Linked DNA regions of Arabidopsis thaliana. The protein of the gene in region 1 interacts with the protein of each later gene in a pairwise test. Each region holds a gene or a part of one and is shown on either strand. Other genes may lie near its edges.

What was found.
Region 2: the proteins of AT1G61980 (region 1) and AT1G74840 interact in a two-hybrid assay, tested with the Arabidopsis thaliana proteins (one large-scale study listed by BioGRID).

The regions. Positions count from the first base shown.
Region 1 is NC_003070.9:22,901,386-22,918,717, forward strand, and holds AT1G61980 (Mitochondrial transcription termination factor family protein), read left to right. Parts: upstream 1-6,632; 5' UTR 6,633-6,776; coding exon 6,777-8,033; 3' UTR 8,034-8,773; intron 8,774-9,208; 3' UTR 9,209-9,493; downstream 9,494-17,332. Other genes in the region: CPK19 (calcium-dependent protein kinase 19), read left to right, coding at 58-185, 267-366, 470-556; AT1G61960 (Mitochondrial transcription termination factor family protein), read left to right, coding at 854-2,227; AT1G61970 (Mitochondrial transcription termination factor family protein), read left to right, coding at 3,328-4,584; AT1G61990 (Mitochondrial transcription termination factor family protein), read left to right, coding at 10,068-11,312; AT1G62000 (uncharacterized protein), read left to right, coding at 12,106-12,552; AT1G62010 (Mitochondrial transcription termination factor family protein), read left to right, coding at 14,501-15,748.
Region 2 is NC_003070.9:28,107,254-28,123,571, reverse strand, and holds AT1G74840 (Homeodomain-like superfamily protein), read left to right. Parts: upstream 1-6,149; 5' UTR 6,150-6,254; coding exon 6,255-6,537; intron 6,538-6,700; coding exon 6,701-6,909; intron 6,910-7,065; coding exon 7,066-7,371; 3' UTR 7,372-8,129; downstream 8,130-16,318. Other genes in the region: AT1G74860 (uncharacterized protein), read right to left, coding at 126-140; PTAC2 (plastid transcriptionally active 2), read left to right, coding at 1,258-3,092, 3,391-3,705, 3,797-3,901, 4,002-4,335; AT1G74830 (myosin-binding protein, putative (Protein of unknown function, DUF593)), read left to right, coding at 8,379-9,801, 9,898-10,103; AT1G74820 (RmlC-like cupins superfamily protein), read left to right, coding at 11,007-11,690; BOR5 (HCO3- transporter family), read right to left, coding at 12,038-12,097, 12,202-12,321, 12,423-12,702, 12,783-13,120, 13,187-13,303, 13,381-13,476, 13,560-13,733, 13,810-13,976 and 5 more.

The DNA.
Region 1 (17,332 bases):
CTTTACTAACTTAAACTAACCGGTTTTGATCAATTTGGTTAATGTTTTTTGGTTTAGGCTGATGTCGATGGGAACGGTACTATTGATTACATTGAGTTCATTTCAGCTACTATGAACCGGTTCAGAGTAGAAAGAGAGGATAATTTGTTCAAAGCTTTTCAACATTTCGATAAAGATAACAGCGGGTATGTGTCGGAAACCGATATGTACCAAACTGATGAACCAGAATTAAACCGGATTAATAACCAAATTACATGTGTTTGTAGGTTTATTTCGAGACAAGAATTAGAAACAGCTATGAAAGAGTATAATATGGGAGATGATATTATGATCAAAGAGATTATCTCAGAAGTTGATGCTGATAATGTAAGTCGAATATCTCAATTTATAAAATACCAAACACAATTTGTTTAGTTTAATGATAGTTTTAAAATGTTCTAATTCATATTTTTGTTTGTTTTTAAAAAAGGATGGAAGTATAAATTATCAAGAGTTTTGCAATATGATGAAGAGCTGCTCACAATCACACCAATCAAAATTGGTTCAACCGAATTAAGGACCATAATCTCCGATTTAATTCATTTTTAGTTCAGTACATAAAATTTCGAATGTAATTTGGATAAATAAACTGTCCATAATATTCCTCATACAATTTGTTTTTGGTCCATCATTGGTATTGTACTCTCCGTAAACCGATTTCGGTTTAAGAATTAACCGAATTATTTTTTTTGGCGAAAAAGGGTTGTTCGTCGTCTACAACTAGCGATTCATTTCTCAAAATTGAGTCAGATAGTTCGGTAGAATCTTTTCAAGCCGTGTCATTTCTTGTTCGGTAACAGTTTTTTCTCTTGTCATGTATGCTCTGATACACCATGGAAGAAGGTTGGTCCAGTTACAGAAATTGTCTAATTTCAGAGTTTCAGTTCAAAACGGATCTGCTTTGTCCAATTCCTTCTCTTTTGCTAGTGTTGCTGATGCGACCCTTATAGATAGCCTTAAAGGTAACAACTTTACAGTCTCTTACCTAGTTGATTCATTGGGTTTAACCACAAAGCTCGCAGAATCGATCTCCAAGAAAGTAAGCTTCGAGGAGAGGAGAAATCCGGATTCTGTTCTGAGTCTTCTTACAAGTTATGGGTTCACAAAGTCTCAGATTTCAAGTATCATTACTATCTACCCACGATTGCTTGCATTAGATGCTGAGAAATCCATTGCTCCCAAGCTTCAGTCTCTGCAGTCCAGAGGAGCTTCAAGCTCTGAGCTCACTCAGATTGTTTCTACTGTTCCTAAAATCTTGGGGAAGAGAGGGCACAAATCTATAACTGTATACTATGATTTCGTCAAAGACATTATAGAAGCTGATAAGAGTTCTAGTTACGAAAAGTTATGTCATTCTTTTCCACAGGGTAACAAGAAGAATAAGATCAGAAATATCTCTGTTTTGAGAGAATTGGGTGTGGCTCAGCGTTTGTTATTCCCTTTGCTCATCTCAGATGGCCAACCTGTCTGTGGTAAAGAAAGATTTGAAGAATCTCTCAAGAAGGTTGTTGAGATGGGTTTTGATCCGGAGACTACAAAGTTCGTTGAAGCTCTGCGAGTTATTTACCGTATGAGTGACAAAACAATAGAAGAAAAAGTCAATGTCTACAAAAGGTTAGGCTTTGGTGTGGCTGATGTATGGGCAATCTTCAAGAAGTGGCCTTCTTTTTTGTCATACTCAGAGAAGAAGATAACTCATACTTTTGAAACCCTTAAGAGTTGTGGTCTGCTTAAACACGAGGTCCTGTTATTGTTGAAGAAGCATCCAAAATGCATTTGTTCTTCAGAGCAGAAGATTGTGAACTCCATAGAAACATTCTTAGGCCTAGGATTCAGCAGAGATGAGTTTGCGATGATGGTCAAGCGATATCCTCAGTGCATTGACTATACTGCTGAGACAGTGAAGAAGAAAACTGAGTTTATTGTGAAGAATATGAATTGGCCACTAGAGGCTTTGGTTTCGATCCCTCAGGTATTTGGATACAGCCTGGAGAAGAGAACTGTCCCAAGGTGTAATGTAATCAAAACTCTCATCTCAAAAGGACTGATGAAAGACGGAAGTGAAGCCCCTCCAATGTCATCTGTTTTAACAAGTACCGATCAGGCGTTTTTAAGGAGGTATGTGATGAAGCACGACAAGTTGGCACCTGAGTTGATGGCTATCTTCACTGGAGAAAATGGGAAGTGAAAAGAGGAGCTTCTATATATAGTCAGAACACCTACCACACAACAAGAGCATCATTAAGGTTTGTATTGTTGTGTTAGTTTTAGATTCTTCCATGAATCTGTTGACATCAGGCCATGAGAAGTGAAAAGAGGAGTTTCATTTATATATCTCTGATACCTATTTAGACTTTTGTAATCTCAATTTGACTCATTTTAATATACAATCCAACATTGAAAATAAGTAGCAATACTTTTCAATCTTTTTTGAGTCTTGAACTCTTTTAGTGGCCTAGAAACGTGGAGATATGTTCTTCTTTGCATTCACATGAAGCACATATCTTGGTTAGTCAGGTAACTTACAATATATTGATCAATCCTAAGAGCAAGTTTTCGAAGATAGTGGTTTGGTTCCAGATTTGATATCATAAAGAACTCTGGTTATATCATTCCATTGAGGTTGCAGCCGAGGAGAAGAAGTTGTTACGCTCCATCTTTACATGGTTCTTAGCGAATGTGACCTTTGTCCCTTTGTATAAATAGCAAAAGTTTCAGCTTACCATTTGTGTTCCTGGTTTTGCTTTTGGCTACTTCTTGTAAGGGAAGATGATTCTCAGTTACAGTTTCAATAGCATACCATATTACCGTAATCTTAAACGAATGACTTTATCCATTAGGTCAGTGCAACCGTGCAACTGCAGGTACAGATTTGTCTACAGTTAAAAAATGTTATGCCAAGCAAAGAGAGAGAGCAAAAGCAATTGGAACCGTTAGATTGATATGTTTTAAAAACAATAATTAGAACCCTCCGATCATTTTATATTTCGTTATCTTATAAGAAAATGCTGACATCAGCAGATCCTAAAATCAATTTGCCTATCATAATCATCATAAACCCTAAAAAATCGTTTTTTTTTTCCTTCTCCTCAAATTTGAACCCTTGAAAGATCCATCACTCATCAACTCTTTAACGGCACGAGTCACCACTGATCGATGATTGAGTCTTTTGTCTTCCCTGCTCAACATAAGTTTGAGATTTGTGCTCGAATTGAGTTAGATTGATTGGTAGAATTGCTTCAAAAATTGTTATTTTCGGGATTTGTAGTAATCGCATTGCCTGTTGTCATGTATGCTCTGATACTCCATGGAAGAAGGTTGGTACAGTTGCAGAAATGGTGTAACTTTAGTCTTTCAGTGCAAAAGGCATCACCTACATCCAATTTCTTCTCCTCTGCTTCTGCTGCGTGTTTGAGTCCTAGAGTTGGTCGAAAAGGAAACAACTTTACAGTCTCTTACCTTGTTGATTCATTGGGCTTAACCACAAAACTCGCTGAATCCATTTCACGGAAGGTTAGCTTCGAGGACAAGAACAATCCTGATTCTGTTCTGAATCTTTTGACAAGTCATGGGTTCACAGGTTCTCAGATCTCCACCATCATTAGGGATTACCCACAGTTGCTTATAGCAGATGCTGAGAAATCACTTGGTCCCAAGCTTCAGTTTTTGCAGTCTAGAGGAGCTTCAAGCTCTGAAATCACTGAGATTGTTTCTTCAGTTCCGGAAATATTGGGAAAGAAAGGGCACAAAACTATCAGCGTATACTATGATTTCATCAAAGACACTTTGCTTGAGAAGAGTTCCAAGAACGAAAAGTTATGTCATTCTTTGCCACAGGGTAATCTGGAGAACAAGATCAGAAATGTATCGGTTTTAAGAGAATTGGGAATGCCTCACAAGTTGTTATTCTCCTTGCTCATCTCCGATAGCCAACCTGTATGTGGAAAAGAAAAATTTGAAGAAACCCTCAAGAAAGTTGTTGAGATGGGTTTTGATCCTACCACCTCAAAGTTTGTCGAAGCTCTACAAGTTATTTACAAAATGAACGAGAAAACAATCGAAGAAAAAGTCCATCTCTATAAAAGCTTAGGCTTTGATGTGGGAGATGTATGGTCAAGTTTTAAAAAGTGGCCAATCTCGCTGAGAGTATCGGAGAAGAAGATGTTGGACTCCATTGAAACATTTCTTGGCCTAGGATTCAGCAGAGATGAGTTTGCCAAGATGGTCAAGCACTTTCCTCCGTGCATTGGATTATCTACAGAGACGGTCAAAAAGAAAACTGAGTTTCTGGTGAAGAAGATGAATTGGCCACTAAAGGCTGTTGTTTCAAACCCTGCGGTATTTGGATATAGCCTGGAGAAGAGGATTGTTCCAAGGGGTAACGTAATCAAAGCTCTCATGTCCAAAGGATTGATGAGAAATGAACTCCCTTCGATATCGTGTGTCCTCATGTGTACCAAGCAGGTGTTTTTAAACAGGTATGTGGCGAATCACGTGGACAAGCAGCTGGTGACGGAGTTGATGGCTATCTATCGTGCTTCATAAATTTAAACTCTTTCTCTCTCTTTAAACTGTAATTTTCCCATATATTACTGAGGTTTCTAGCCAAAGAGCTGCAGGGGACATGTGAATCCAAATTCTATGTTTGTTGATTTCTTCTAAAGCAGAGATAGTTTCTGAATTCACTGTGACATTGTTTGGATATGGAGTTGAATGATGCAATGCAGCTCTTGAGTTCTACGATTGATCACGTAAGCCTTTTCCGTTCCTCAAGTAGTGTTTGATCTTTATTTTCACTTTTTTCTTTAACAGTTTTGAGATAGGAGTACACTGAATCACAGCTGGTCATACCAAAATCCTCTTATGATAATTAAAATCTTGCTCTGTCGTTGCTTTATATCATTCATTTGATTTGTGAGATGTTTTAATTCTCAGATTGGTGATCTTGGTCTTTACTTGCTATGGCGTTTCATACTCATTTTTTCTGAGCTTATGGTACATTGTCCCACATCATTAGGACTCATAAATCATATTATCATCCAATCCAGGTTGGTAAAATCTGGAATCTAGCTATTACTCTAGAAACTTCAAAGCTCTGGATGGTTTGAAGTTTGGTGAGTTTTTGCGATGGCTGACGACCATTGGAGTGAACACACTCAAGTTTATTTCTCTGTTTGACCTACAAGGTAATATGCTTTTTAGTGTACACACTCAAGCTTATTACTCTAGGTTTATTGAATAAATCGAAGGATATGATCATCGAAACCGTTTCACACTCAACGTTGTTATGGGGTATCATTGAGATAATGTATTGCTTTGGTTGTTCATTAATGTGCTCACTCAACGCATTTGCCCCCAATATCTCTGGAAACTAATTGTAACAGAACTCTCTTTTCCTTTTTTTTAGTCTTATTGTGTTTTTAGCCATATGAGATATGGTTCCCTTGTAAAAAAGGCAATCTACAAGTTTACAAGGGTACGTTAAAAGTTAAAACTATGGTAAGTTCCTTTCATCTTTGAAGAATTCAGAATCTATTTTCATAAAAGTTTGCACCTTTAACCTGAATTTAGCTATGGGATGATCGAAGGCCATTTACTTTACTTCTTAGAGCTTTGTTTACTCAGCGATGGACCTGTGCAATTGTGAGTTGCTAGAAATATTTCTCGGAAAACCTTATTCGCAGTCGTATTTGTGGCTATTCAGGTCTTGAGAAGGAAAGGAGAATTAGGAAGTCAGAAGAGATGAGAAATGTTTCAAAATAGCTCTTTGAAAAGTTGAAATATCGGTTGAAAATGCTTGGTGGTTTAAAGGTGGAGGTGCAGGTCCTGTGGCTATATAGAGGGTTTAATATTTTGGCTGAGGGATTATCTATTGTTGAGAAGCTTGGTGGTTCGTATACTGAAGGTAAATTATGATCTTTGTACAGTTTCTGATACCGTCATATACTCTCATTGATGAACTTATTCTGGACTGGGTGCTGGTGATGTCTAATTCTCTGTATTCCGGAAGAGGTAAAAGGACTTGCATTTTAGCAGAATCACGGGGAGGAACCAAAAAGCAAAGCTTTCTATGGAAAAAATCCAAGGCCTTTTACTTTTACTTGTTAGAGCCAGAAAAATGGATAAGCTTTGTTTGCCCTGCGTTTGAGGGTTTCTTAAATTGTTTTGGATGATGAAATGAAGAAGTTTCTGTTGTTGCTTGACATTAAGTTCTGTTGTCTTGTTACTTTGGTGTTCTAACAAACCGACCTTAACTCGTGCATGATATACTTAACTTCAATGTTGTCACGACAAGTCCAGCTCCGGTTCCTTGGTTATTCAAAGATAACTGTACACAACACACAACACACACTCTTCACTAGACATAATTTGTAAGAAATCATTACTCTAAGAATCTCCTCAAATCAAAATATGACTTTGCTCTGTGATGCATTTATAGTCTTTGGAAAACTCAGTAAAAATCTTCACATCTCTACAATATTCATGGAATTTATAAAACACTCTCTTTGTAGCTGTAGCCAAGTGGTGAGACCTGGGTTCGAATCCCAGCAGTAACATTAACCTTATTAATTTTGTTAAAGAGAATAAATTAAAGGACGACGTATACCAATTGGCAAATCATTAGGGTTTATGAAATTTTGAGTGATTTTCAGAGAAGTTTGAGGATGACTGTGTGATTCTACTTCTCGAATTGAAATAGATAGTTGGGTCATAATCGCATATCCTTGTCTTCTGTCATGTATTCTCTGATTCGCCATGGAAGAAGTTTGGTCGAGTTACAGAAATGGCGTCATTTGAGAGTTTTAGTGCAAAAGGCGTCTCCTTTGTCCAATTCCTTCTCCTCTGCTTCTGCTGCGCGTTTGAGTCCTAGAGTTGGTCGAAAAGGTAAGAGCTTTACAGTCTCTTACCTCGTTGATTCATTGGGTTTACCCAAAAAGCTCGCTGAATCGGTCTCAAGGAAGGTTAGCTTCGAGGACAAGGACAACCCTGACTCTGTTCTGAATCTTTTGAGAAGTCATGGGTTCACTGATTCTCAGATCTCCACCATCGTTACGGATTATCCACAATTGCTTGTAGCTGATGCTGAGAAATCACTTGCTCCCAAGCTTCAGTTTTTGCAGTCTAGAGGAGCTTCAAGCTCTGAGCTCACTGAGATTGTTTCTACAGTTCCTAAAATCTTGGGAAAGAGAGGCCACAAAACTATCAGCGTATTCTATGATTTCATCAAAGAAACTTTACTTGATAAGAGTTCCAAGTCCGAAAAGTCATGTCAACCTTTTCCACAGGGTAATCTGGAGAACAAGATCAGAAATTTATCTGTTTTGAGAGAATTGGGGATGCCTCACAAGTTGTTATTCCCCTTGCTCATCTCTTGTGACGTACCTGTCTTCGGTAAAGAAAAATTTGAAGAATCCCTCAAGAAAGTTGTTGAGATGGGTTTTGATCCATCCACCTCAAAGTTTGTGGAAGCTTTGTGCGTTGTTCAAAGATTGAGCGACAAAAACATAGAAGATAAAGTCAATGCGTATAAAAGGTTAGGCTTTGATGTGGAATATGTATGGACAGTGTTCAAGAGGTGGCCAAACTTTCTGACACACTCGGAGAAGAAGATATTGAACACCATTGAAACATTTCTAGGCCTAGGGTTCAGCAGAGATGAGTTTAGCGTGTTAATTAAGCGCTTTCCTCAGGGCATTGGATTATCCGCGGAGATGGTTAAAAAGAAGACTGAGTTTTTGGTAAAGAAGATGAATTGGCCACTAAAGGCTCTTGTTTCAAACCCTGCGGTGCTTGGATACAGCCTAGAGAAGAGGACTGTCCCAAGGGGTAACGTAGTTCAAGCTCTCATCTCCAAGGGATTGATCGGAAGTGAACTCCCTTCGATATCGCGTGTCTTCGTATGTACCGATCAGGTGTTCTTAAACAGGTATGTGAAGAGGCATGAGGACAAGCAGCTGGAGACTGAGTTGATGGCTATCTATCGTGCTTCATAGATCACAAGGCTGATCAAGGATTTTGGTTTCTATCTTTAAATATCTGAAATCCTCAATTTAGACTTTAGTTCTCAATTTCATATCGATCCAAACTGTTTGTCTCTCTCTATAGATGCTTGAAATTGTAAGTTTTGAATCCATTTTCTGCTATATTACTGAAGTTAAATTCCAAATTCTTTGTGACCTTGTTCGGATATAGATTTGAATGATGCAATGCAGCTCCTGCATTCTTGAATTGGTCATGTAAGCCTTTTCTATTTCTCAGTTAGTGTTTACTTTCACATTATTCTTTAAATTTTGGGATTGGAGTACTGAAATTACAGCTACTGATACCAAAATCCTCTTATGGTACAATAAAGTCTTTGCTTTATATATTCTTTGCTCCTGAGATCCTGGAGTCCTCATGTAAGCTCTGTCTTTGCTTTATATATTCTTTGATCATATGATTCATCTGATTTGTGGAATGTTTGTATTTCAGATTTGTGATCTTGGTTTTTACTCGTACACGTTTTTTGTGAGCTTTATATTACATTGTCTTGAATATATTGTCAGGGGCACTGGAAACCTATCCTACATCATTAGGACACATCAATCAGATAATCATCCAGTCCAAGGTGGTAAAATCTTTATATCTAGCTTCTAGCTGAAGAAGCTTGGGACGTTGAACGTTGTTTTGAGCTTTTGCTATGGCTAACGACCTCTGGAGTGAATACTCAAGTTTTCTCTCTTTGACTCGCAAGGTAATATGCTTATTAGCGTTATTATAGGTACATTGAGATAGTATAATGTGTTGGTTGTTTATTAATGTGCTCATTCAATGCATTTGCTCGATATCTCTAGGCTATCTATCAGAACTATCTTTTCCTTTACTTGATCTTATTGAGTTTTAGACGTATGAGATATGGTTCCCTTGAAAGAATGCAATCTACAAGTTTACAATGGTACGTCAAAACTGTGTTAAGTTTCTTTCATCATTGAAGAATTCAGAATCTTGTTTCAACTTGGACTCAGCAAACACTTTTGGCAATTGAATCTCTTATTTATTCTAGGAAAATTACATTATCAACTATTTGTTCGTTCTTGATAGGAACTTGAGGGTGAATCTCTTGGCGCAGAAAAAATGTTTCAGAGAACTTTTTCTTATAGTTTGTGATTCTCATATCTTTTTTTTTCAGTGATGAATCCAGAAACTATTGAAGAGAGCTATTCATACAGACTATAGAGCAGTCACCATTGTTACATCAGAGCAGTCACTAATGTTGCATCAGAGCAGTCACCAATGTTGCATGTTAATTTTGTAGGATCACATTTGGTTGACAGTAACCAGATTACAAATGTACTCTGGTATACATACAGTTGGTTCGTGATCAACAATTGAATAGTATCTAAACCAGACCAAAATGAATCCGGTTCTGCTTGGTTAATAATACCAAGTCTTTTAAATTGATGCAGAACGTGAGATCCTAGTGAACCAAACTGAAACAATATCTGAAGATGACAGGAGGCGTAATGAGGCTAGAGTATGCAATTTGAGGTCATTCCTAAATAGATAAAGCAAATGACATTTGGTGAATGAAGAAGCTCTACAACCATATGTTCGCAATTTAAAACAAACCGATATCGTTTGAGATCTCAGAAATAGTGTGATCACCTTTTTTCTCCTCCAATTTTTGAAGATCTCAAACTTTGTTTTGGGCTTGAAACATAATGTCCATATCCGCCTGCCGTGATACTATATGGGCCGAGTCAGGCCTGTCAGGCACCTGACTCTTTTGAGAAAAAAAAAGAATCATAATTGAAATTCTTCAAGGTTTACTATCGGTGGAGCAACACATAAACCCTAAATTTTGGGATTTAGGGTTTCGCGATTTGGAAGCGGATTCATGGTGAGTTTCTTGTTATTGTTCGTAATTCCAGAGAAATTTTGGTATCTATGATTCATGACTGCGCGATTCATCTTCTCGAATTGAAACAGAGAGTAGTTGGGTCGGAATAGCTTTCAACACTGTAGCATTTGTAGCATTGTCTTTTGTAATGTATTCTCTGATTCTCCATGGAAGAAGGTTGGTCCAATCGCAGAAATGCTTGAGTTTGAGTGTTTCAGTGCAAAATGCATTTGTTTTGTCCAATTCCTTCTCTTCTGCTAGAGCTGCTGATGTGAGCATTAGAGATGGTCGAAAAGGGAAGAACTTTACAGTCTCTTACCTCGTTGATTCATTGGGTTTATCTAAAAAGCTCGCTGAATCCATCTCAAGGAAAGTTAGCTTTGAGGACAAGGTCAATCCTGATTCTGTTCTAAGTCTGTTTAGAAGTTACGGGTTCACAGATTCTCAGATCTCTACCATCATTACGGATTATCCGTTATTGCTTGTAGCAGATGCTAAGAAAGCACTTGGTCGCAAGCTTCAGATTCTGCAGTCTAGAGGAGCTTCAAGCTCTGAGATCACTGAGATTGTTTCTACAGTACCGAGAATCTTAGGAAAGAAATCTATTACTGTATACTATGATGCTGTCAAAGACATTATAGTAGCCGATACGAGTTCGAGTTATGAACTCCCACAGGGTTCTCAGGGGAATAAAATCCGAAATGTATCGGCTTTGAGAGAATTAGGCATGCCTTCTCGGTTGTTATTACCCTTGCTCGTCTCCAAATCGCAGCCTGTGTGTGGAAAAGAAAATTTTGATGCATCCCTTAAGAAGGTTGTTGAGATGGGGTTTGATCCCACCACCACTAAATTTGTTTTAGCTTTGCGGATGCTTTACCAAATGAGCGAGAAAACGATTGAAGAAAAAGTTGTAGTCTTTAGAAGTTTAGGTTTTACTGTGGATGATGTATGGGAAATTTTCAAGAAGACTCCTTCTGTTTTGAAAGTCTCCAAGAAGAAGATATTGAAGTCGGCTGAAACGTTTCTAGACCTAGGATATAGCAGAGCTGAGTTTCTGATGATGGTTAAGCGTTATCCTCCTTGCATTGAATATTCTGTAGAGTCTGTTAAAAAGAAGAATGAGTTTCTGGTGAAGAAGATGAAATGGCCACGAAACGCCTTGGTTTTGCACCCTCAGGTGTTTGGATACAGCATGGAGAAGAGGATTATACCAAGGTGTAACATACTCGAAGCTCTCTTGTCGAAAGGACTGCTCAGAAAGGGAAGTGAACTACCTGCAGTGTCCTCTGTTTTGTCGTGTACCGATGAAGGATTTTTAGACAGGTATGTGATGAAGCACAACGAGCTGGTGCCTACGTTGATGGCTATATTCACCAAAGGTAGTGTTTCATAGATCAGAAGGCACACCTACAACAATGAGCAGTGCCAAGGTTTGTTCTTATTTTGTTGTTGTCAGTTTTAGATTTCTAGATGAATCTTATGATGTGATAATGGAAAAACGAAAGAAAAGCTTTTGTTAAAGTATCTATGAGTGAATTCATGATATGTCAAAAATGTTGCATGGATACATTGGCTCTTTAGTACTTGTTACGAGCTGCTAAGAGAGTCGTGTCAAGTTCAATACTTTTCCTTGTCATTTCCATAATTGCTTGTCTGTTTGGATTCTATTGTGCGGAAGTTATGATTTATATTTTCAGATTCATATTTTCACTTAGGAAGCTTTAGTTGGAATCAAAGTGGATGACTCTGATTGAGGATTTCAATGATCGTTGTTAGAACCTTTCTTGTAGTTGGTGGATTGTATCAAAATTGATATGTTCTTAACTTCTGGATTGAGAGTCAGAAGTTGGAAAAATGAATTCAATTCATTTGTATTAAGAGGTTTTCGAATAAGAGATCACAGTTATAGTATAGTATTAATTGGATATCACAATCTATTCATAATATTAGCTAGTTAGATAAAATTGTGTTTGATCTTGGCAAGAGGTGTTAAAATAGTATCATGTTGACATGTTGGTATGACTATTAGTCGTAATTTAAGTTTATGTATATTTCTTGTAAGAAATGTCCATGTATCATAATAAATACAAGTGTATCGAGTTTTTGTATATATAGAGGTCTATGACTTGGGAAGAAGAACACAACACAACTCACCACAAACACAATCTAATCCAAAAAATCAAAAGATGAATGCCACAAAGTTTGTTGTGCTTCTCGTGATTGGCATTTTGTGTGCCATTGTCACCGCAAGGCAGGTCAAAGATTTGTCCACGGAGACCAAATTAGGGGCCTCTCTTCCAAAAACTACTACCAAAGGCATTGGAGCTCAGCTTTCTGCAACTGGCACAACTTACAGCACCAGCAGTGTCGTTAGCTATGCTAATGGTTTTAACAATCCCAAAGGTCCAGGGGCCAATTCATTCGAAAGTGCCAACACATTTACCAGCGGACAAGTCACTGCCAAGGGTCGCAAGGCAAGAGTTTCTTCTACAAGTGCTTCTGCCGCTGAAGGCGATGCTGCAGCTGCAGTGACTCGCAAAGCTGCTGCTGCACGTGCAAACGGTAAGGTAGCTTCCGCATCAAGGGTGAAGGGTTCCTCTGAGAAGAAGAAGGGCAAAGGAAAAAAGGATTGAGCGTGAGGTGCTCTCATATTCTCATGCATGCGTATTCCTCAAACCTATATATTAATAATATCCTAAAAACTACAAACTCACAATCTCTATCTTGTTCATAAATAAAACCAGAGATTGTCACCTCTATATATTATTATGAAATGCTACTCTTTCTCATGTAATGGCTTTTTTAAAAATAAAATAAATGCAATAAATCTTATACTAATCTTCCTCAGTAATGTTAAATATATATATAGAACACTTAATATTCTTGTCAAGAACATGATGACTCTCAGTAACAACAGAGGTTTAAATTTAATCACTCACTACCAAAGAGAAAAATGGTTGAAACTGGTAACAAGCTAAGGTTTCTTCTTCATCTTCGTATGCACGTAAAGACTTGGGATTTTTTTAAAGTATTTCTTCCTGAATATAGTTGTCATGAAATGGTAATGTTTCGTTATCTCTGTTTCTTCTATTCACATCAAAAATAAATTTCAAATTTTATATATCAAAATAGATCTGCATGTGGTTCCTCCAGATTTTATTGACATCTTAGAGAAGCCATTACCAATGAAGCTGCCTCAAAGGGAGGGTCTTAAGCTGCAGCGAATCGCAAAGCTGCTGCTGCTTCTGCAGGTGGTGCCACAGGTTCCGAATCCAGGGTAAAGGGTTCCTCTGAGAAGAAGAAGGGCAAAGGAAAAAAGGATTGAGAGTGAGGTCATCTCATGGTTATTGTACAAACCTATATATTAATAATATCCTACAAACTACAAACTCACAATCTCTTTCTTGATCATAAATAAAACCAGAGATTGTCACCTTTACTTATCATGAAATGCTACTACTATCTTTCTGTAATGGCTATTGATGATATATAAATGATAGCAAAATTTATAATATTCTGAATGATACATTATATCTTCTCTTTATTGATTCTCAAATATCCACCGACCACAAGCATTGCTTATAGCATTCTTTGTACATTCTCATACAAGTGGATAAGAGTTCCGAGTATGAAAAGCTATGTCATTCTTTGCCACAGGGTAGTAAGCAGGTGATCAAAACCAGAAATTTATTGGTTTTGAGAGAATTGGGAATGCCTCAGAAGTTGTTGTTCCCCTTGCTCATCTAGCGGAAAAATTTGAAGAATCACTCAAGAAGGTTGTTGAGATTGGTTTTGATCCGACCACTTTAAAGTTTGTCAAACCTCTCCACGTCTTTTACCAAATGAGCGACAAAAAAATTGAAGAAAAGGTTAGGCTTTGCTGTGGGAAATCTTCAACAAGTGGCCTTGCTCTTTGAAATTCTCAGAGGAAAAGATAAGTCAGACGATTGAAACCTTGAAGATATGTGGTTTGAACGAAAACGAAGTCCTTCAAGTGTTGAAGAAGTATCCGCATTTCATACGTATTTTGTTAAAATTGCATCATCTTCGTTTGTTTCATTCCATTGACTTTAATGTTCTTTTGAACAATTATTAACTATGTGTTTTGCTATTTATCATCTAATATAGATGTCATGTTTTATATTATCTCAATTGTTCATGTCCATAATTTTAGGAAGTTTGACTGTTTGAGTGATGCTCCTGTCATTAGCATCACTCAAGAGATTATGAATTCTCTCCAAATTTTGATTTTTGTGAATGTCCAAATTTTGATTGTAGTACATGTGACCGTTGGGTTAGAAAGTTGGAAACAATGCACAAAAATAATGGTTATAATGAACCAAAAAGTAAACCAATTAAATCAATATTTGATTTGTCCTTAAACCGGTCCAGAACTAAAACCCTAAAAATCTTATCTTTCCTCTCCGATATTGGATCTGTGCAGTAATTTTACTAATCGATTTCGTGTTCTTCGTTGCTTAGTAAGAAAGTAGAAAGTTTCTGAGAATCTCGGGCACGAATTGAATCAGATAATTCGCTAGAATCGGTTTAACGCTTTAAAGGCAATCGCTTTGCATTCTCATGAATTCTCTTATACTCGGTGCTGCTAGAAGGTTCGTGGGGTTGCATTTGAGAGTTTCAGTGAACCTTTTGCAAAATGAATCTTTCTCTTCGTATTCGTTCTCTTCTGCTAGTGCTGCTGATGTGAGCCCTAAAGGGGAGACCTTTAAATCCTCGTCCTTCCTTGATTCACTGCGTTTAGCTACAAAACTCACTGACAAGGGAAATTCTGATTCCGTTCTGGATCTTCTCAGAAGTTATGGGTTCACTGATTCTCAGATCTCCAGCATCATCAGGAGTGATTCAAGAGTGCTTATAGACAATGATGCGACATCCCTTGGTTCAAAGCTTCAGTTTTTGCAGTCCAGAGGAGCTTCAAGCTCTGAGCTCACTGAGGTTGTTTCCACAGTTCCTAAAATCTTGGGGAAGAGAGAGGGCAAATCTCTCAGCAGATATTATGATTTCATCAAAGTCATTATAGAAGCTGATAAGAGTTCCAAGTATGAAAAGATATCTCATTCTTTGGCACAGGGTAACAAGATCAGAAATATCTTGGTTTTGAGAGAACTAGGCGTGCCTCAAAAGCGGTTACTGCTTTTGCTCATCTCCAAATCGCAGCCTGTTTGTGGAAAAGAAAAGTTTGATGCATCACTCAAGAAGGTAGTTGAGATGGGTTTTGATCCAACCACCTCAACGTTTGTGCACGCTTTGCATATGCTTTACCAAATGAGCGACAAAACGATTGAAGAAAAAATCCGAGTCTATAGAAGTGTAGGTTTCTCTGTTGATGATGTATGGGCAATGTTCAAGAAGTGGCCACGCTCTTTGACACATTCGGAGAAGAAGGTAGCCAACTCTATAGAAACATTTCTAGGTCTAGGATTCAGCAGAGATGTGTTTATGATGATGTTCAAGCGGTTTCCTCCGTGTATTGGATATTCTACAGAGGCGGTGAAGAAGAAGACTGAGTTTTTGGTCAAGGAGATGAATTGGCCAGTAAAGGCTGTGGCTTCAATCCCTCAGGTACTTGGATACAGCCTAGAGAAGAGGACTGTCCCAAGGTGTAATGTTATCAAAGTTCTCATGTCAAAAGGATTGCTTGAAAGTGAACTCCCTCCAATGTCTTCTGTTTTGACAAGTACTAGTGAGTCGTTTTTAAATTTGTATGTTAGCAAACATGATGACAAGCAGCTTGTGGCTGAGCTGATGGCAATCTTCACCGGAAATCGTGTTTCACTCACCGATCAGAAGGCACGCCTAGAACAATGAGCAACGTTAAGGATTGTTTTTTGTTTTCTGTTAGGTTTAGATTCATTAGTGAGTCTTGTTGCTTGACTTTTGGAAGTAGATAATAGATTTTGTGTATGAGTGTCTAAGCCTTTGACCCTGAAGGATGATGAATCAGTCTTGTATGAAAAAAATCTTTACAATTATCTTTCTTTGTCTTGTTGATATGAATTATGGTTAAGATCTTTGTGATGTGCTTTGTTCTGTTTTGGAAATTAAACAGAGCATATGATATATTTCATTTTACTAGTTTCGTGGCAGAAATCTTTCCTGTTTCGCAGGATTTGGTAGACAACTCTGAGGAGTAAGATCCACTCGCAAACGATGGAACGGTTTATTCAAATTCCTAGTTTGCTTTTTCTACTTGAGTCCTTAAGTTTGTATTAGAGTCTTCAGTATACTTCATACCTTCTTGTTCAACCCAATTCCAACTCTTCAGTCTCTGCTACATCTTCAAACTCCATCAAGCCTCAAACTAATAATCTTTCAAGTGAGATTATAAATCTTCAAGCTTCTTGGATTGGATATATCAATAGACTATAAAAGCTAGTAGAAAAGAGTAGAAAAGCTAGTTGAGGATTTATAATAAGGTAAATAAGTAGAAAAGACTTTTATAGTCTATTGATATATCCAATCCATTTACTTGATCCATCTCTGTATGCAATCTGACTGACAAATTGTAATTGTTAAACTCTTTTTTACTAGCTTTTTTTAACTCTTCAACATTAAAAGTCTAGAAACAGAAGACAACTATTTACTACATGATATTTTTGGTTATTTGTTAACAAGAAGCACTGTGGTAAAGCAGCCGAGGATGAATAATTTTAGTGTTTGTTTGATGAGTGTTAATCTTCATGGAATCCATAACCACAAAGATTTGGTTGATCCATCTATATAAAGCAAATAGGTGTAGTTAATCAATTCAAGGTCTTTTAGTGTTATCCCTTGCCAAGGAGGGCAACACTAGAGTCTAGAGTTTCGTTTTCCACTTGAGTCCTTCTGTTGGAGACAGTGTCTTCATTACACTTCCTAACCGATTCCAAAGCTTCAAATTTCATCAAACCTGCAACATAATGATGACTTCACAATGGTGTCGAGTGAGCTCCATTAAAACATGTATAGGCCTAGGATTCAGCATAATGATGATCAAGCGCTATCTTGAGTGCATTGTAATTTGATGAAAGAAGTTGACTTGACCAGTGGCAACTAGAGGCTGGAGAAGAGGATTGTCCCAAGTTATAACCTAATCAAAGCTGGTACGTCTCGAAGCATGATGATAAGCTGGTATTGGAGATTACTGTTTTTGCTCCAAGGAATGTCATATCAAGAAACTGTGCATTGTTCTTGTACCTCGCTAGCATCTTCCTTTGTTGGTTACATGGTTTGCTATTCCAACCAAGCTCTGGTACTATAAGGCAAAAGGAAAGGAGAAGGAGACCATTAACTAGTCTATATTACAACAATACATTATATGTTTCGTGGATATCTCTTTTTCTTATCTTCTCTGCTGTTTTCCTTTCTTTTGTAAAGATTGTTCTTTGAACATGAATCAATACACTTTAGAAT
Region 2 (16,318 bases), 5.2 Mb from region 1:
GATTCTGTCCGATAAGAGAAACAAGGTCTAGAAGAAACAGAACGAAACTAAACGAAGAAAAATCCGAAATCGAAAAAAATGAACTCGTGAGAGGAGGAGATTGAGGGGGTTTAAGGTAATTGTACCTCTGGGTCTGCCATTAGAGCCGATAATGCGATTGCAGAGAAGCGATTGTTGATTTTCCGACCAAGGTCGCGAACTCGCCAAGAAGAAAGAAAAAGCTAAAAAGGTTTTTTTTTTTTTTTTTGTTTCTTTTTGTGTTTCCTTGAAGCGTCTGTCTGTTAGGAACAGAAAGAAGTATAAAGACCTATTTACCCCTAAAAACTCGATGTTATTTCTCAAACGCCACACCACACGTCACGTCAGCTTCAGCATTTCAGACTGCAAACGGCGGTACGGTTTCCCGTTATCTCCGTCACTCTTTTCGTAATCTCTCTTTTGCTTTTTACATTTTTCGGTGATAAATTTACAATTTCAAAATACACTGGACTTTTAATTTTTACCTCATTTAGACAATTAGACCACTAGATTTCGTAGCTTTTACCCCAAACAAAAGACTATATTGTAGCTAGTTCTAATTATTGAATTTTGTATCAACTATTCCAATACGAGACATGATATAATGTTCCATATTTGGTAGATACATTCAAAGAAAAAAAAAATGGTAGACAGCTAAAAAAGAAGCTAGCTCATGGGATTAAACCAAAATTAAGATATCCAAATGATTTTGAAGTTTCGATTGCCTAGAAGATGGATGGACAATTAAACCGACTTATAGAACATTGTCTAGTTTACAACATATATTACCAATGTAATTGTATTCTACTATTTACTAGTGTACACTAATACTACTTTTCTTGCAATTTTAGGCGCCAATTTTTTTTGATCGAAAAATATCGAGTTAACCAATTAAAACCGGGAAGTAATCATTAAACCGGGTAATGACCGGGTGATTACTCGAGACTGTTATCCACAATAAGAATCCACGTGTCTTCTTCAAGCCCCTCCCTCTTCTTCCATTTTTCCGCCATTTCACCTAGAGAGCGAGCTTTTGGGTGAGAAAATCTCTTCTTCTAAACTATTCTACTGCCAATCTTAATTCGTGCGTTTCTGTCTAGAGCTTGGTGGTGACTAGTAACTTAGCCGTTAATCTTAAATCTCTGATTCAATTCAAATCGAATTGCGATTTTCCCGAGAAAATCTCGTTTCACTTGCTGGAGGATTTTTGAATCCTTATGTGAACTCTAGTTACCCAAAATGAACCTAGCAATTCCAAATCCCAACTCACACCACCTCTCCTTCCTCATCCAGAATTCAAGCTTCATCGGAAACCGGAGATTCGCCGACGGCAACCGTCTCCGTTTCCTCTCAGGAGGAAATCGTAAACCATGCTCCTTCTCCGGTAAAATCAAAGCAAAGACTAAAGATCTCGTTCTCGGGAACCCCTCCGTCTCCGTGGAGAAAGGAAAGTACAGCTACGACGTCGAATCGCTGATTAACAAGCTGAGCAGTCTCCCACCACGCGGGAGCATCGCCAGGTGCTTAGACATATTCAAAAACAAGCTTTCGTTGAACGATTTCGCACTCGTGTTCAAAGAGTTCGCTGGTCGCGGCGATTGGCAAAGGTCGCTTCGTCTCTTCAAGTATATGCAACGGCAGATATGGTGCAAACCTAACGAGCATATCTACACTATTATGATCTCTTTGCTTGGTAGAGAAGGTCTACTAGATAAATGTCTTGAGGTATTCGACGAAATGCCTAGCCAAGGTGTGTCCCGCAGCGTTTTCTCTTACACTGCTTTGATCAATGCTTATGGTCGAAATGGACGGTATGAGACTTCTCTTGAGCTTCTTGATAGGATGAAGAATGAAAAGATATCACCTAGTATTTTGACTTACAACACTGTGATTAATGCTTGTGCTAGAGGTGGTTTAGATTGGGAGGGTTTATTGGGTTTGTTTGCAGAGATGAGACATGAGGGGATACAACCTGATATCGTGACTTATAATACACTGCTTAGTGCTTGTGCTATTAGAGGTTTAGGTGATGAGGCTGAAATGGTTTTTAGGACTATGAATGATGGTGGGATTGTTCCGGATTTAACCACATATAGTCATCTAGTTGAGACATTTGGGAAGTTACGCCGGCTGGAGAAAGTATGTGATCTTTTAGGCGAGATGGCCTCCGGCGGTAGTTTGCCGGATATCACTTCTTATAATGTGTTGTTAGAGGCATATGCGAAATCCGGGTCTATTAAGGAGGCAATGGGGGTCTTCCATCAGATGCAAGCTGCAGGGTGTACGCCGAACGCAAATACATACAGTGTTTTGCTGAATTTGTTTGGACAGAGTGGGAGGTATGATGATGTGAGGCAGCTTTTTCTTGAGATGAAATCAAGCAATACGGATCCTGATGCTGCTACATATAACATTTTGATTGAGGTTTTTGGGGAAGGGGGGTATTTTAAGGAGGTGGTAACTTTGTTCCATGATATGGTGGAGGAGAATATTGAACCGGACATGGAGACATATGAGGGTATAATATTTGCTTGTGGGAAGGGGGGACTTCACGAAGATGCTAGGAAGATCTTACAATATATGACAGCTAACGATATCGTGCCAAGTTCCAAGGCGTACACTGGGGTTATTGAAGCGTTTGGGCAGGCTGCTTTATATGAAGAAGCGCTTGTTGCTTTCAACACCATGCATGAAGTAGGAAGCAATCCAAGTATTGAAACATTCCACTCACTGTTATATTCGTTTGCAAGGGGAGGACTGGTCAAGGAGTCTGAGGCGATTTTGTCCAGGTTGGTGGATTCTGGTATTCCCAGGAACAGAGATACGTTCAATGCACAGATAGAAGCGTACAAGCAAGGAGGCAAATTTGAAGAGGCTGTGAAGACATATGTAGATATGGAGAAGTCAAGATGCGATCCTGATGAAAGGACGCTTGAGGCTGTTTTAAGTGTGTATTCTTTTGCGCGGCTTGTTGATGAGTGCAGAGAGCAGTTTGAGGAGATGAAAGCTTCTGATATACTGCCCAGTATCATGTGCTACTGTATGATGCTAGCTGTTTATGGGAAGACGGAGAGGTTAGTGCCTTCGCCAGTAATACACGGTTTCTGATGTTTTCTTTTGCGTGTATTTTTATAGCTCATACCTTACTAAGCATGATGATTTATTCCATCATCATAGCATTTTGCTCTTTCAGTTGCCTTCTGTCTATACATGGTCAGGCATGGGGGAGATATGCTAGTGTAATGTAGCACCCTAGTTAATTTTCTTGCAGCTAACTTGAGTGTTCTGGATAAGCAGTAACTTTAGCCATTGTTTTGTATATAACATCTTAAGATTTTAAGCAACACTTCAAATTTTTTTTTTGGTTTATAGGTGGGACGATGTCAATGAGTTATTGGAGGAGATGCTTTCAAATAGAGTATCAAATATTCATCAAGTTATTGGGCAAATGATCAAGGGAGATTATGATGATGACTCAAATTGGCAGATAGTGGAATACGTGTTGGACAAACTCAATTCAGAAGGATGTGGTTTGGGAATAAGGTTTTACAATGCACTTCTGGATGCTTTGTGGTGGCTGGGCCAGAAAGAGCGAGCTGCAAGAGTACTCAATGAGGCAACAAAGCGTGGACTTTTCCCTGAGTTATTCCGGAAAAACAAACTTGTGTGGTCTGTCGATGTACATAGGTAGCCTAAGATCCCTACACTGGCTTCGTTTCATGTGTATGAAATGGTTGAGTACCAGTCAATCTAATTCTTGGTTTTCAATGTTCTGCAGGATGTCAGAGGGTGGCATGTATACAGCACTATCGGTTTGGCTAAATGATATAAATGATATGCTTTTAAAGGGAGATCTTCCTCAACTAGCTGTTGTTGTTTCAGTGTAAGTATTTTGATACTGGGTACCTACCTCATTGCAAGATGCCTTCAAGCTTTTTATCTTGCCTTTTGCCTTTTTTAATTCTTTCTTTCTAACCTCTCAGACGGGGACAGTTGGAGAAAAGCTCTGCTGCAAGAGAATCTCCTATCGCGAAAGCTGCTTTCTCCTTCTTGCAGGATCATGTCTCGTCCTCATTTTCCTTCACGGGATGGAATGGAGGTCGCATTATGTGCCAGCGATCTCAGCTCAAGCAGTTACTGTCAACGAAAGAGCCAACTTCAGAAGAATCCGAAAATAAAAACCTAGTGGCATTAGCAAACTCGCCAATATTTGCGGCTGGAACAAGAGCTTCAACAAGCAGTGACACGAACCACAGCGGTAACCCTACACAACGAAGAACCAGGACGAAAAAAGAACTAGCAGGGAGCACAGCTTAAGAACTAGACAACGTAGTTTCTGTTGCCAAGTCCAGAAATCAAAGGCCTCTTCTGCCTTCCTCCATATAGACTGGTGGGTGAAAACTGTGGGCGTATTTCACAAGCACTCCATATCCATGATAACTATGCTATGGTTTCAAGCAGTAGAGTCAACCTCTGTTAGACAGAAGAAGCTGGAGAAGAAGATAAATGGTGATCTTAGTTTATATGAAGAAGCGTCTATATGAAAATCTCAAGTAAGTAGCCAACTAAGTGTTTTGATGGATTGTTAGACCCATGATTTTGCAGCCATAGATTTTTTTTCGTTTTTTTTTCCATTCAACTATGTTTTTGATTACTATAAAGCTAAATGCTAATGTAAGATCAAAGCTCTAGTTACAATTAAAGGATCTATTAATCAAGATTCCTCAGGGAAGCTCTAGTTTTTGCTTGTGACCTCACCTGATGAACTCTCTCTGTTTCGAAATCTAACTTATTACATAGCAATGACCCAACTCCACCCAGAATAAAGAAAACAATCTGTTGTGCAAGATTCCTTCTTCGGTCTGATTAATCTTTTTCTCTCTCTCGTCCTCAGATATGTGTTTGTTTTCTGATTTAGGAAAGTCACTACAAGTTTGTCATCCAAATTGGTAATAAAATAAGAAAAAGATTGGAGAAAGAAAGGATCTTCCTATAGTGCTTCACACATTACAACTTTAAGATTCCACTTTGTGTGCGCATAAAAGTAATGGTGGCTTTGCTTTCTAACCGATGCTAGTGCTTTGTGTGATTTTGCTGTCTTCCAAAACTATTTACCAAATTTTGTAAATACTTTTTAGAATCTTTTCCCTACAAATCTAAAATAGATAAATAATAATAGTATGTGATCATATTGCTTACAGTCAAATCACATCCTAACATTCTACTAAAAGACTAAAACTATCACCTTTTTGTTTTTTAATGCTATATAGTTGTGATCAAGTCTGGACATACGATCATGCTGTTTATACTACAATTAGGTCCTTAACAGCGTCTTAAAATTTACTCTTAGCTAGAAAACGACAAATTCGACTACACAATCATTTTTGTTGTTGAATTAGATTCCTGAAATTGTAAGTTTTTGTGTTGAAATTCAAAGTTATAATTTCCAAAAAGGATTCACCTGTCTCCCAAGATTTTTTTCTTAATAATCAACTCATAGATCCACAAGATATAGTATTTTAGAAGAAAAAAAAGTACAAGGATGGAGCTGTAACTAAATAGATTATTAGAGCAGAGTACAGAATCATTTCAGAAGCTGACTATTTTTCTAAGCTCAAGTTGCATGCGCTTAGGCCTTAGAGACATTGCGTTGACCAGTACATTATAACCTGTAGATTTTTATCATAAAAATACATGAGGGTAACGTTAAGAAAAATAAAAGCGTCGATTTCATTTCATTTTTCTCATTCTGTTATTTCATTTTTTTGTATTTAACTTTGAGTTTGCGAAAGTCAATAAATATTTCTTCGTTATACGACCTACATTTTTTGGTCGACATAGCGAAATACTTTTTTAACTTCTTATTATAGGATAACATTTATTTAACTCTTTTTTCGTCATCCTATAAGATTAATTAAACTACTAACAAAAAACCTAATAAATCTAGTCAGCCAATGAATAAAAAAAGTCTATCCAAATGAAAACTCTGTAGAGAGACAGGCAGGTAAGAAAAAAATACAAGAACAGACGAATAAAAACAAAACACGTGTCATATGGTACCGTCACCAACACCTACAACATGTAATAGTTTAAAAAGGAACCACGTGGCTTTTGGCTTATAAAAGGGTCCCCAAAGAAGCTCAGATCTAACTCACACCACTCCATTGCCCATTGCTCTGTGTACTTTGCTTCTTTAGGAGAAAGAAAGCACAAGGGGCAAAATCGGAAAGATTATCATGGCCGACGGTAGTACTAGTTCTTCGGAGTCCACTACCGCCTGCGCTGGAAGCGGCACAAGAAGAGAGATTATGCTGTTCGGAGTCAGGGTTGTGCTTGACCCGATGAGAAAGTGCGTGAGTTTGAACAATCTGTCTGACTATGAACAGACGGCGGAGACTCCAAAGATCGACGGCGAAGATAGAGATGAACAAGATATGAACAAAACCCCGGCCGGTTACGCCTCGGCGGATGAAGCTCTTCCCATGTCTTCTTCTAACGGCAAAATCGAGAGGAAACGAGGTATTACTCTTCGATTGAAACTTTTTTTTATCATTCCATAAATTTGATCACTTTAAACTTAGGGATTTGTTAGATATGGTTTGAGAAATGGACTATGAACAACTTTATGTTCATTTGGATTTAGAAAGATGGCTAATTTATTGGGTTTCTTTCTATTTCTTAGGAGTTCCATGGACTGAAGAAGAACACAAGCTGTTCTTGCTTGGGCTGCAGAGAGTCGGTAAAGGAGATTGGAAAGGAATATCAAGAAACTTTGTCAAGACCAGAACCTCTACACAAGTTGCTAGTCATGCTCAGAAATACTTCCTCAGGCGAAGTAATCTTAACCGTCGCCGCCGAAGATCTAGCCTTTTTGACATGACTACTGATACGGTAAATCTCTAATCCTTTGTGACTCTAGTAAGTTAAGTGGTTAGGTTTAGTTTTTAGCTTAGTTGTTTAAAAGAAACTAATAGAGAGCCTTTGTGAATTGTTGGTTAGTGAAAACTTAAGTATAACAAAACTGATTTTGCTTGGTTTTGTTATCAGGTCATACCCATGGAAGAAGATCACCAAGTGCTTATACAGGAGAACACATCTCAATCATCTTCTCCTGTACCGGAAATCAACAACTTCTCTATACATCCGGTTATGCAAGTCTTTCCCGAGTTCCCGGTACCAACAGGGAATCAATCATACGGACAGCTTACTTCATCGAATCTCATCAATTTGGTTCCATTAACTTTTCAGTCAAGTCCAGCACCGCTTTCTCTCAACCTCTCACTAGCTTCATCTAATCTTAATGAACCATCTCCTTCAATGCATCCAGCATTCAACACGATTGGAGTCGCTTAGAGCTTATCCTAAAGGTGAAAATCTGCAACACACCCTGTTTGTTTCTTTGCTGTACAGATAGGTCTTGACTTTGTTATAAAAAAATTCGTCAAATTTATGTATTTGGCTAAAAAAAATCTGTTGAAAAGAAGAATAATAAACAGAGTTTGGAGATAGGACTTAAGTGGGGTTTTAGGGTTCATAATCATCCTGTGTTTTTCCTTCCATGTTTGGAAGTTGTTGTAATACTCTCTAAGTTCATTCGTGTGGATCTATCAAAACTTATAAATCATATTAACGTTATGTTTGTTTTATTCATGATCTCAATCATAAACAGAGTCGTAGTACTTGCTTATCATGTGGCTATCTAAATCATGTTAGATGATTCATGGGGTTTTAGGGTTTTTATAATATATCTGATTTCCAAGGATAAGATATTTTATGTTTGTAGAATAATGTCATTATCTTTAATGATGCCAATAATGTCAAATTTTATTGGTCACTTCCATCATAGTGGAGCTTTTTCTTTTCCCATCAGATGCTTTTAATATATTTTGTGTGGGATGATTACATATTACCCCTGTTGCGTAAGCAATAATCTTCCAATCACAGAACATGATCCCCATTCATTAATCGACCAATCAAACAGCATCATTTTTATATGATGATGATGTATATGTGTATGTCATGTGTGTGTTGGCATGTCCTCTGTTTCTGTCGTGTATGGTTGTATTCAGTTTTAGCGTCAACGACAAACTTCTCCTCACGTCTAAGCGGGGAAAAAAAAAAAAAAAACGAATCCAGTTTATCTTTGTTTGTTTTGTATCTCTCTGTCTTTTGACATTGTCTCTAAATTTATCAATTTCAAATCTGCGACTATCCTTTGTTTTTGGGTACTTTATCTCATCAAATTCCAGCCCAATCTAGACTCTCTAAACCCAGAAATAGAAACACAAATCACAAAAGATTGAGATAGATAGATCATGATCTCTGTTCTTTGTTGATCTTTGACCAAAATTCGATCTCCTATGTATATACAATTGCTCTGTTTTTTCTTGTTCTTGTTTCTGCTTTTACAAGCCACAATGTCTAAACGTTCTTTCAAGAAATTTGTGGAACAAGAACTCGGATCTCTTCCTCATTTCCTCATCTACACTGTTCTTGAATGGAGCCTCATTGTTTTCCTCTTCATCGACGGCGTTATCGCCTTTCTGTCAAACCAATTCGCCAAATTCTTCGACCTCAACATTCCTTGTCTTCTCTGCACCAGAATCGACCACATTCTCGTCCCTAGAGACCCTCAATTCTATTACAACGAGTCAATCTGCGACTCTCACAAGAAGAAAGTATCTTCTCTTGCTTATTGCCATGTCCATAAGAAGCTCTCTGAGATTAAACATATGTGTGAAGGATGTCTTCTCTCTTTCGCCACCGAGAAAGATTCTGACTGTGATACTTATAAGTCTCTCATTGGCATCTTACATAAAGATCTCGAGCTTCTCATTGACGATGAACGAGACCTTCCCTTGGCGTTCAAGAAAGACGACAATTTAGTCCAGACAACAAAAAATCTGGTGGATTACAAGACTAACAACATTAAAAATGATAGCTTGAAGCAACATTGTTCGTGTTGTGGAGAATTATTGAAGATAAAATCTGAGAAGTTACCGAAGAACAACAATTCTTTCCTTGCTCCTGCTCCTTCTCCTAGGGTATCGCACAACAAACTGTCTGAAAACGAATCTGAGTTTAAGGATATGGATGTGGACCGAACACCAAGTTTTGTAAGAGGAGGTAACAAGTTTTTTGGGATCCCTCTGTCTGATTCGGCGCAAAACAGTCCACGATGGTCCGTTCGATCTCTTAAGAAATCCGTTTTGAATAAGACAGAGAATGCTTCGGACACGACAGATCCAACCGGTGAATCCATTCTTAATCAGCTCAAGAAAGAGGTTCGCTTGGACAAGAAGTCACTCATTGATTTATATATGGAGTTAGATGAAGAGAGAAGTGCTTCAGCTGTTGCAGCCAACGAAGCGATGGCTATGATCACGAGGCTTCAAGCCGAGAAAGCTGCTGTTCAAATGGAGGCTTTGCAGTACCAAAGAATGATGGATGAACAAGCAGAGTATGACCAAGAAGCTTTGCAGTCTATGAGTAGTGAATTGGCGAAGAGGGAAGAGGAAATGAAGGAGCTTGAAGCTGAATTTGAGGTTTACAGAGAGAAATATGGATGTTTGACTGATCAAGAAGATGCAAGGGAAGAGTTTCATAAACAAAACGGCAATGCTAGTGCATATGATGATTGCCAAGAAACCAAACCAGTCTCGGATTTGGCTGTCTCTTCTTCAAATCAGCAGGAAAATGGCGAAAACATCGATCAAAATGGGCAATCGAAAAGGTCAGAGGAGTCTACCGCGGAGAATGTTGTCTCTGCAGATGAAGAAAAAGGTATGATTCTTTACTCAAAGTTTGATCATTATGTGTTGTTTAATCTGATCCTAAAAACCCTTTTTAATCTTGTGTTGTTGTTATGAAATTGGGCAGGGAGTGAAAGCAAAGAAGGGATAGTAAAAGAGCTTTCAGAGATCACAGAGAGACTAAGTACTCTTCAATCAAATGGTGATTTATTGAAACACATTGCTGATGTTTTGGATGTTAGTGAAGGAGAAGCAATTCTATTGCAGATATCTCAGAATTTGCACATGCTTCGTAGTTTTGTTGCTATGCCTTCTGAATCCATGAACTTGTAATACAATTTTTTTCCATTTCTTAGAGAACAAGCAAGCTTTCACGCCTTGTCTCAACTTGAAAACATTTCTTTTATTCTTTCACATTAAAAAGTTTCAGTTTGCTCCATGAACCTAACCTAGTTTCAGTTTTGTACTTCATACCCAAAAAATAAAAAAGTTTTCAGTTTTGCATTTGTATTTAGATGTGAAATTTTTCTAAAATGTTTTCACAATTTCAATAGGTATAACATTTTGAGTTTGTATTTAGATGGGATTTTTATATTCTTACATATTTTCACATTTCAAATAGGTATAACATTTTCATTTTCCATAAACATTTTGTTGAGTGTAAATGAATCTTAACACTGAACATAAACAAATTATTTCGTTAAGGATTGACTTTTTTACAAATTTTAAATGCTAATACAAAATGTAAACATAAATAAATTATATCATTTTCCTTCATAATTCAAATTTTAAAACTAAAACTATTATATTTTTATTTATAGAGAACGTACAATCAAATATTTCAACTTATAAATGGAGACATTCGACATTTTTAATTTAGTGATCAAGGAGCGAGAGTTAATTGTACCTAACTTGTTTCAGCCATATATATATCATAGCTCTAGCCACTTGACTAGCTAGGTCTCCGTGAGCTAGGGTTTATTTTGAACCTAATTTATTTTGGCATAGCCATATATGCTTTGCTTAAAAATTGAAGCCATTAAAGAATTGCATAAAATTAAACCCAACACTCATAAAGATTTAATCTTTTCTTGTGTTTTCCTTTAATCCCATCTTATTTTAGTCTAATGAAGCTATAAGGTCGATCCAAAAAAAAACTAATCTCTAATGCTATATAATCTACCAATTAACATCGTCATTTATCATCATCAACCATAATCATCTCACTCACTAGCAATGGCTCATATTTCACAAATCTCTTCTTTTCTCTCAATAGTTTTAATCTTCCTCGCATTATGCATCACTCTCTTCACGAACCCTACTCTCTCACTCCCAGCCCTAAAACTTAACCCTTTCCAAGACTTTTGTGTAGCTGATCTCCAAGCTACCCCAACTAACAGTGGTTACCCTTGCAAGTCACAAGTCACCTCTGAAGACTTCTTTTATTCCGGCTTGAACACTCCTTTAAACACCTCGAACCCAAAAGGTATTGCCGCTAATCCAGCCAATCTCTTGACCTTTCCAGGCCTAAACACTTTGGGAATATCCATGTATAACGTTGCAATTGCACCTGGAGGATACAACCAACCTCACTCTCACCCCGGTGTAACCGAGGCAGGGGTCGTGATCGAAGGCTCGGTCTTGGTTGGGTTCTTAACGACTAACTACACGTTGTACTCGAAGGTTATTGGACCCGGTGATATGTTTGTGATTCCTCCGGGACTCATTCATTACGAGGGGAACGTTGGGAAAACGCAATGCCGTCTTTTGACGGTGGTTGCTGACGACTTGCCTAGCGAGGTTGGTGTGCCTCACACTCTGTTGGCTACGAAACCCGCGATTCCAAACGAGGTATTGATATCGGCGTTTAAGGCGGATAGTAAAACAATCAACATGCTCAGGTCAAAGTTTACTGCTTAAAATAATGGTCTCTATATGGTTCCTCTAAAAATGTAATCTTTTATGAGTTTACTTAAATGAATAACAAAAGTCAGTGTTTTTTTTTTATGGACAAATCTAGTAATACTTACAATAGCAATTCTATTTTCATCATAATAAGTCCGTTACCGTTAGCCTCCCAAGTTCCCAACTAGTTAGGAAAGTTTTGAAAAAAGTTAATATATAGAGAAAAATACAAGATGATAAACACATCTTCTTGGGTTTTATTTAGGAAAAAATAAAAGCCACATATCATCTATGTTTTGCACATGACCACCATCATGATGTGCACTTGCAAAAATGGTTTTGATCGTTATTTTGTTGATAGATCACTCTCTCGAAGAACTCATGTCCCCATCCCCTACTTCTACTATCTCCTTGGGATATATCTGCATGTTAACATGATCGTCTATGAAATTCTTCTTACAAAGTCTAAGATTCAACTCAACGATCTATATACAGATTCTTTACCCAAACAAAAAAAGAATAAAACCTGGTGGCCTTTGTCTTCGTTATGACCGAGTGTACGGACTTTGAGCTCGCCTCTGCTCGTTGTTAACTCGTCTAGAATCTCAGCATCACACTCTTGGACCCCTCTCGCCGAGTTATTCGACTTTAAAACAGGGTTAAATCGATAAACCTCAATCCTTTAAACTACTCTAGACAAATATCAAGAATAAAAAGAATGTACATATTATATAGACATTGACTCACCCTGAAAGACAGTTCAAGCGGGTTTCTAGGAGTTCCAGGGATCTCCTCATACTCCGCCGCATCGAGTTCCCGGAGATAGGCTGGTTTAAAGAGCTTAGGGAGAAGGTACTGTCTGATGGCTACTAAAAGGAAGAAAAGAACCGGAAACATGATTCCGGCCACTGGAATCCACGTCACTCCGTAGCAAAGCCCAAAGTAGAGTATCTGAAATAGCGTGAATGCAGCGATTGACTTATGCGGAACTTTCTCCACGAACGATGCATGCGCTCCTTCCAAGACCCTAACAACAAAAAACAATCACATGATCAGTCTTTGAAGGAAACCTTTAACAAAAAAACAGAGCATTTTCAGAGCACATACTTGAATCTCCGGGTTGGTGGGACGAAGAGAAGTACTGTTCGTTCGAAGAATTGATTGTCTGGGAGGCTATCAATGGCCATGTAAGCAAAATATCCCCATAGAAGTGAAGTCGGTATGAGCTTAATGACCGGTAGAGCAAACACTGCACCTATCACTAGCAATGATTGCAACAGGTTGCTCACTCTCTGCTCGTTGACTCGAACAGGCAAGTAAGCGTCAACGTGCTTCTCTGGATCGAAACCACTCTCTTCGCCGGTATCCCCGTCGTCGTCACTCTTCTTCATCACTGCCTCTTTCAGATCTTGCAGCTCATTTATCAGTGTTGTGTGTGTCTCAGCCTGTAGATTAAAAATAAGAGCTCATATCTTGAAAACTGGAACATTAATTATGAGTCTACTACTTACAAGTGGGCTTTTGTCCATTTCTATGAAGACTTGTTCCATATCCTCGTACACTTGAGAGGACGTTGCTTTCTGTCTGATGCTTTCTTTGGCTGTCATCACCATCTTCCTCCGCATTAACTGTATAGAACCACCAAGTTTCATCTAGACCGCTTAACCTGAATATTCAGTGTTGATTAACTGAGTATTAATTAGACCTGTCGTTTGAAAACAGCTAGGCTTTTGGTATGCATAGGAGACTGCGGGAGGACTCCGTTGGAAGGCGGTAGACCGAGCATTCCACAGATCAATACCTGAAAAAAAAAACACAGTTTGGAGATTTTAACAGAGAATTAATGTTAGCTTGCAGAGGAAGAAACAGAGTTTGATTGATTACCATGAAACCTAACAAGAGAATGTCGTAGTGATATGCAGAAGGGTTCTTGAGGTTAAACTCCTTCTGCTGCGCGAGCTGCGAGACAACGCTGTGGTCAAAGAAGTAGAGGCCTGCGATCATCAATGCGGGTATAAACGCTGCAAATATGTAACCGGGAGAGACTTTACCCATGTCCTGTACAGAAAAAAGACGGATCCTAAAGAGGTTTGGATTGTAAACCAAAATCTTAAATGTAGTTGTGTTTTGTAACCTTGATGACAGTCCAATGTGTTAAAGAAACAGAGTCCCATGGAAGAGGACTAACGAGTCTTCTCGGGACACCAGAGGGTAGTTTTGATGGCGTACTGAAAGACAATGCTGTCCAAACCACAACCATCAACGGAACTCCGTAGTCTGCAACGAAGCTTCGGCAACATCCTTTACAAAGAATCATAATATTAAGGCCTTGTAGTTGTTTTTAAACAGAAATTACCATTAAGCATGAGAAAATAAATCACTCTTACCTGTTCCGTATGGCCAAGACCTTGCTTTTCTGCTCTTCAAAGCGGTGTAGACAAGACCGACTGTGAAAATAAGGCCAAGAAGTCCGTTTGTGTAGAGCCACTCAAACTGATACTTTTCAAGTTTTGAGTCTTCACCTTTTGGAATCCTAAATTCACTCACCATTCCCTACCAATATCATTTGAAACATATAAAAGATCTTTTGACCTATCATCAGAAGTGAGAGGTGGCTTTGTTGAGCCTTTTGGTATTGATACCTTTATGGTTTGTTGGAGAAATAGAACAGCGATCAACATACCAAACAGCTCACCAGCGATCCTCGTGAACCGGTTGATGATATAAGCCATGTTGAATATCGCCATTAGGAATAGTAACAAAGCCGTCCACACACAAACCCTTCAATTAAAAAACAAGCAAGACCATAACTCTTACAGGAAAACATTTACAAGAACAAACGATTTAGAGTTTTGGAGTAATCACCAAGCAACCCAAGCTAAGTAGAGTTGTTTGCCCAATTCAGGTCTTCCTTTAGCGAAGTCGTACAAGTATTTGTACATTAAGACAGTTGGTTCTGCAACTCCAAGTATCAACAATGGTTGTCCTCCCAATAACGAGTGTATCACTCCACATAACGCTGTTGATGCTAACGTTTCCACTGTGCTCAACGATCTCTCTATACTTTTACCCCAAATTTTAAATCAGATTACGCATAACTAAAAACAAGACCAAAACGTACATGAAGGTAACAAATTTGAGAGATAGACCTGTGTCGTGGCTAAGTTGCTCGCCAAAGGCAATAACAGGAAGCGCAGAGGCGAAGAAAACATATGTTGTCGGTGCTAAAATCCTGTAAAACCTCTCAAAAAACATATAATTACAATTTGTTTCTCTATCTCAAGAAGAATCTAATTATAAGTACCCGAAACCAGAACGTAGACCAGCGATCCAGTCTTGCTTGTAACACAAGGCTCTTCCTTTGACATCTCTTATGATACCTTGAAATGGCCTTTTCGAGCCTTCCACTCTTTCTTCCTCCATATCCCCTCAAATCACTCGGAGATTCTAAACCACGTCGCTCTGATCAGATGTTAGCCTTTGCAACAGGTCTTTATATGACCTAACCACACACAAAGGAAGTTATATAACACATATAAATGACTTCATATCGTGTAGTTTTTTTTATGATGTAGTCTTTTTTTCACCCACTATGTAGAGAAGAATCTCAAAGTCTTTATGTTTTTTGGGTACTTTAGTAGCTGAAAATAGGAAAACGCTATGTGCTTATCTGAATTAGACAAACATCGCAATGCACAAAACAAGCAAAAAGAAATGAAATTTTCCTTTTATGACAAAGAAAATCTGAAATTGCATATGTACCCAAAATTATTAAGAATCTAATTCTTTCATTAAACTCCACTGATTAAAATGCATCGTGAATCTAATCCACAAAAAAAACTTTTTTAATACGGTCTGACATCGAAATTATATGTTATGAACTCTTTAATATCTCACGAAAACAAAATCAGAGAAAGAAAGAATGAAACATGCAATATACTAAGTGATGTTAAAGTATTACAAAGAGACCAAGCAAACAAGTGTGGCCGCAGAGAGAGCGAAAATCACCGGAGCCGACGATCATATGTGGCACTGGCAAGTGGCAACGGTCATCTTTATACATGGAGAGGAGGAGACACACTTGTACACGTCTTCTGGTGGTCTACTGCCACGTGGCAGTATTCAAATGGTGGATTTTATACATCCGTGAATCTTGGAGTTGATTTTCCTTAATTTAAATGGTCGTACTACCGACAGCCAAAAACTTGTCTTTCACCAACAAATATGTTTTGGAAGGCTGAATATCATCACACAAACAAAATAAAAAACTAACATTTATTTTGTATGAAACTACATCTTTTATTTCTGTTCAGAATTTTCGAAACCGTTGAATTTGTTTGTCGATTGGAAATAACTAGTGAACGTACGTAACTCGAGGATTAATTATTAAACAAATTCAAGTATTAAAAAAAATGGACAATGCATGTTTTTCTTTACTTTTGAATTTTATTTTTTATGATCACGATTTTACGTTTGATTCAATTTCTCATATTACATGCTACTATTGACAATATTTATATTTTTCTTATTATAACAATATCTTTTTTCTTTTCTTTTTTTAACAATATCTTTTTTTTTAACAATATCTTATTTTAAACATCTTTAATTTGTATGAACACAAATAGATACATGAATATTTCTAC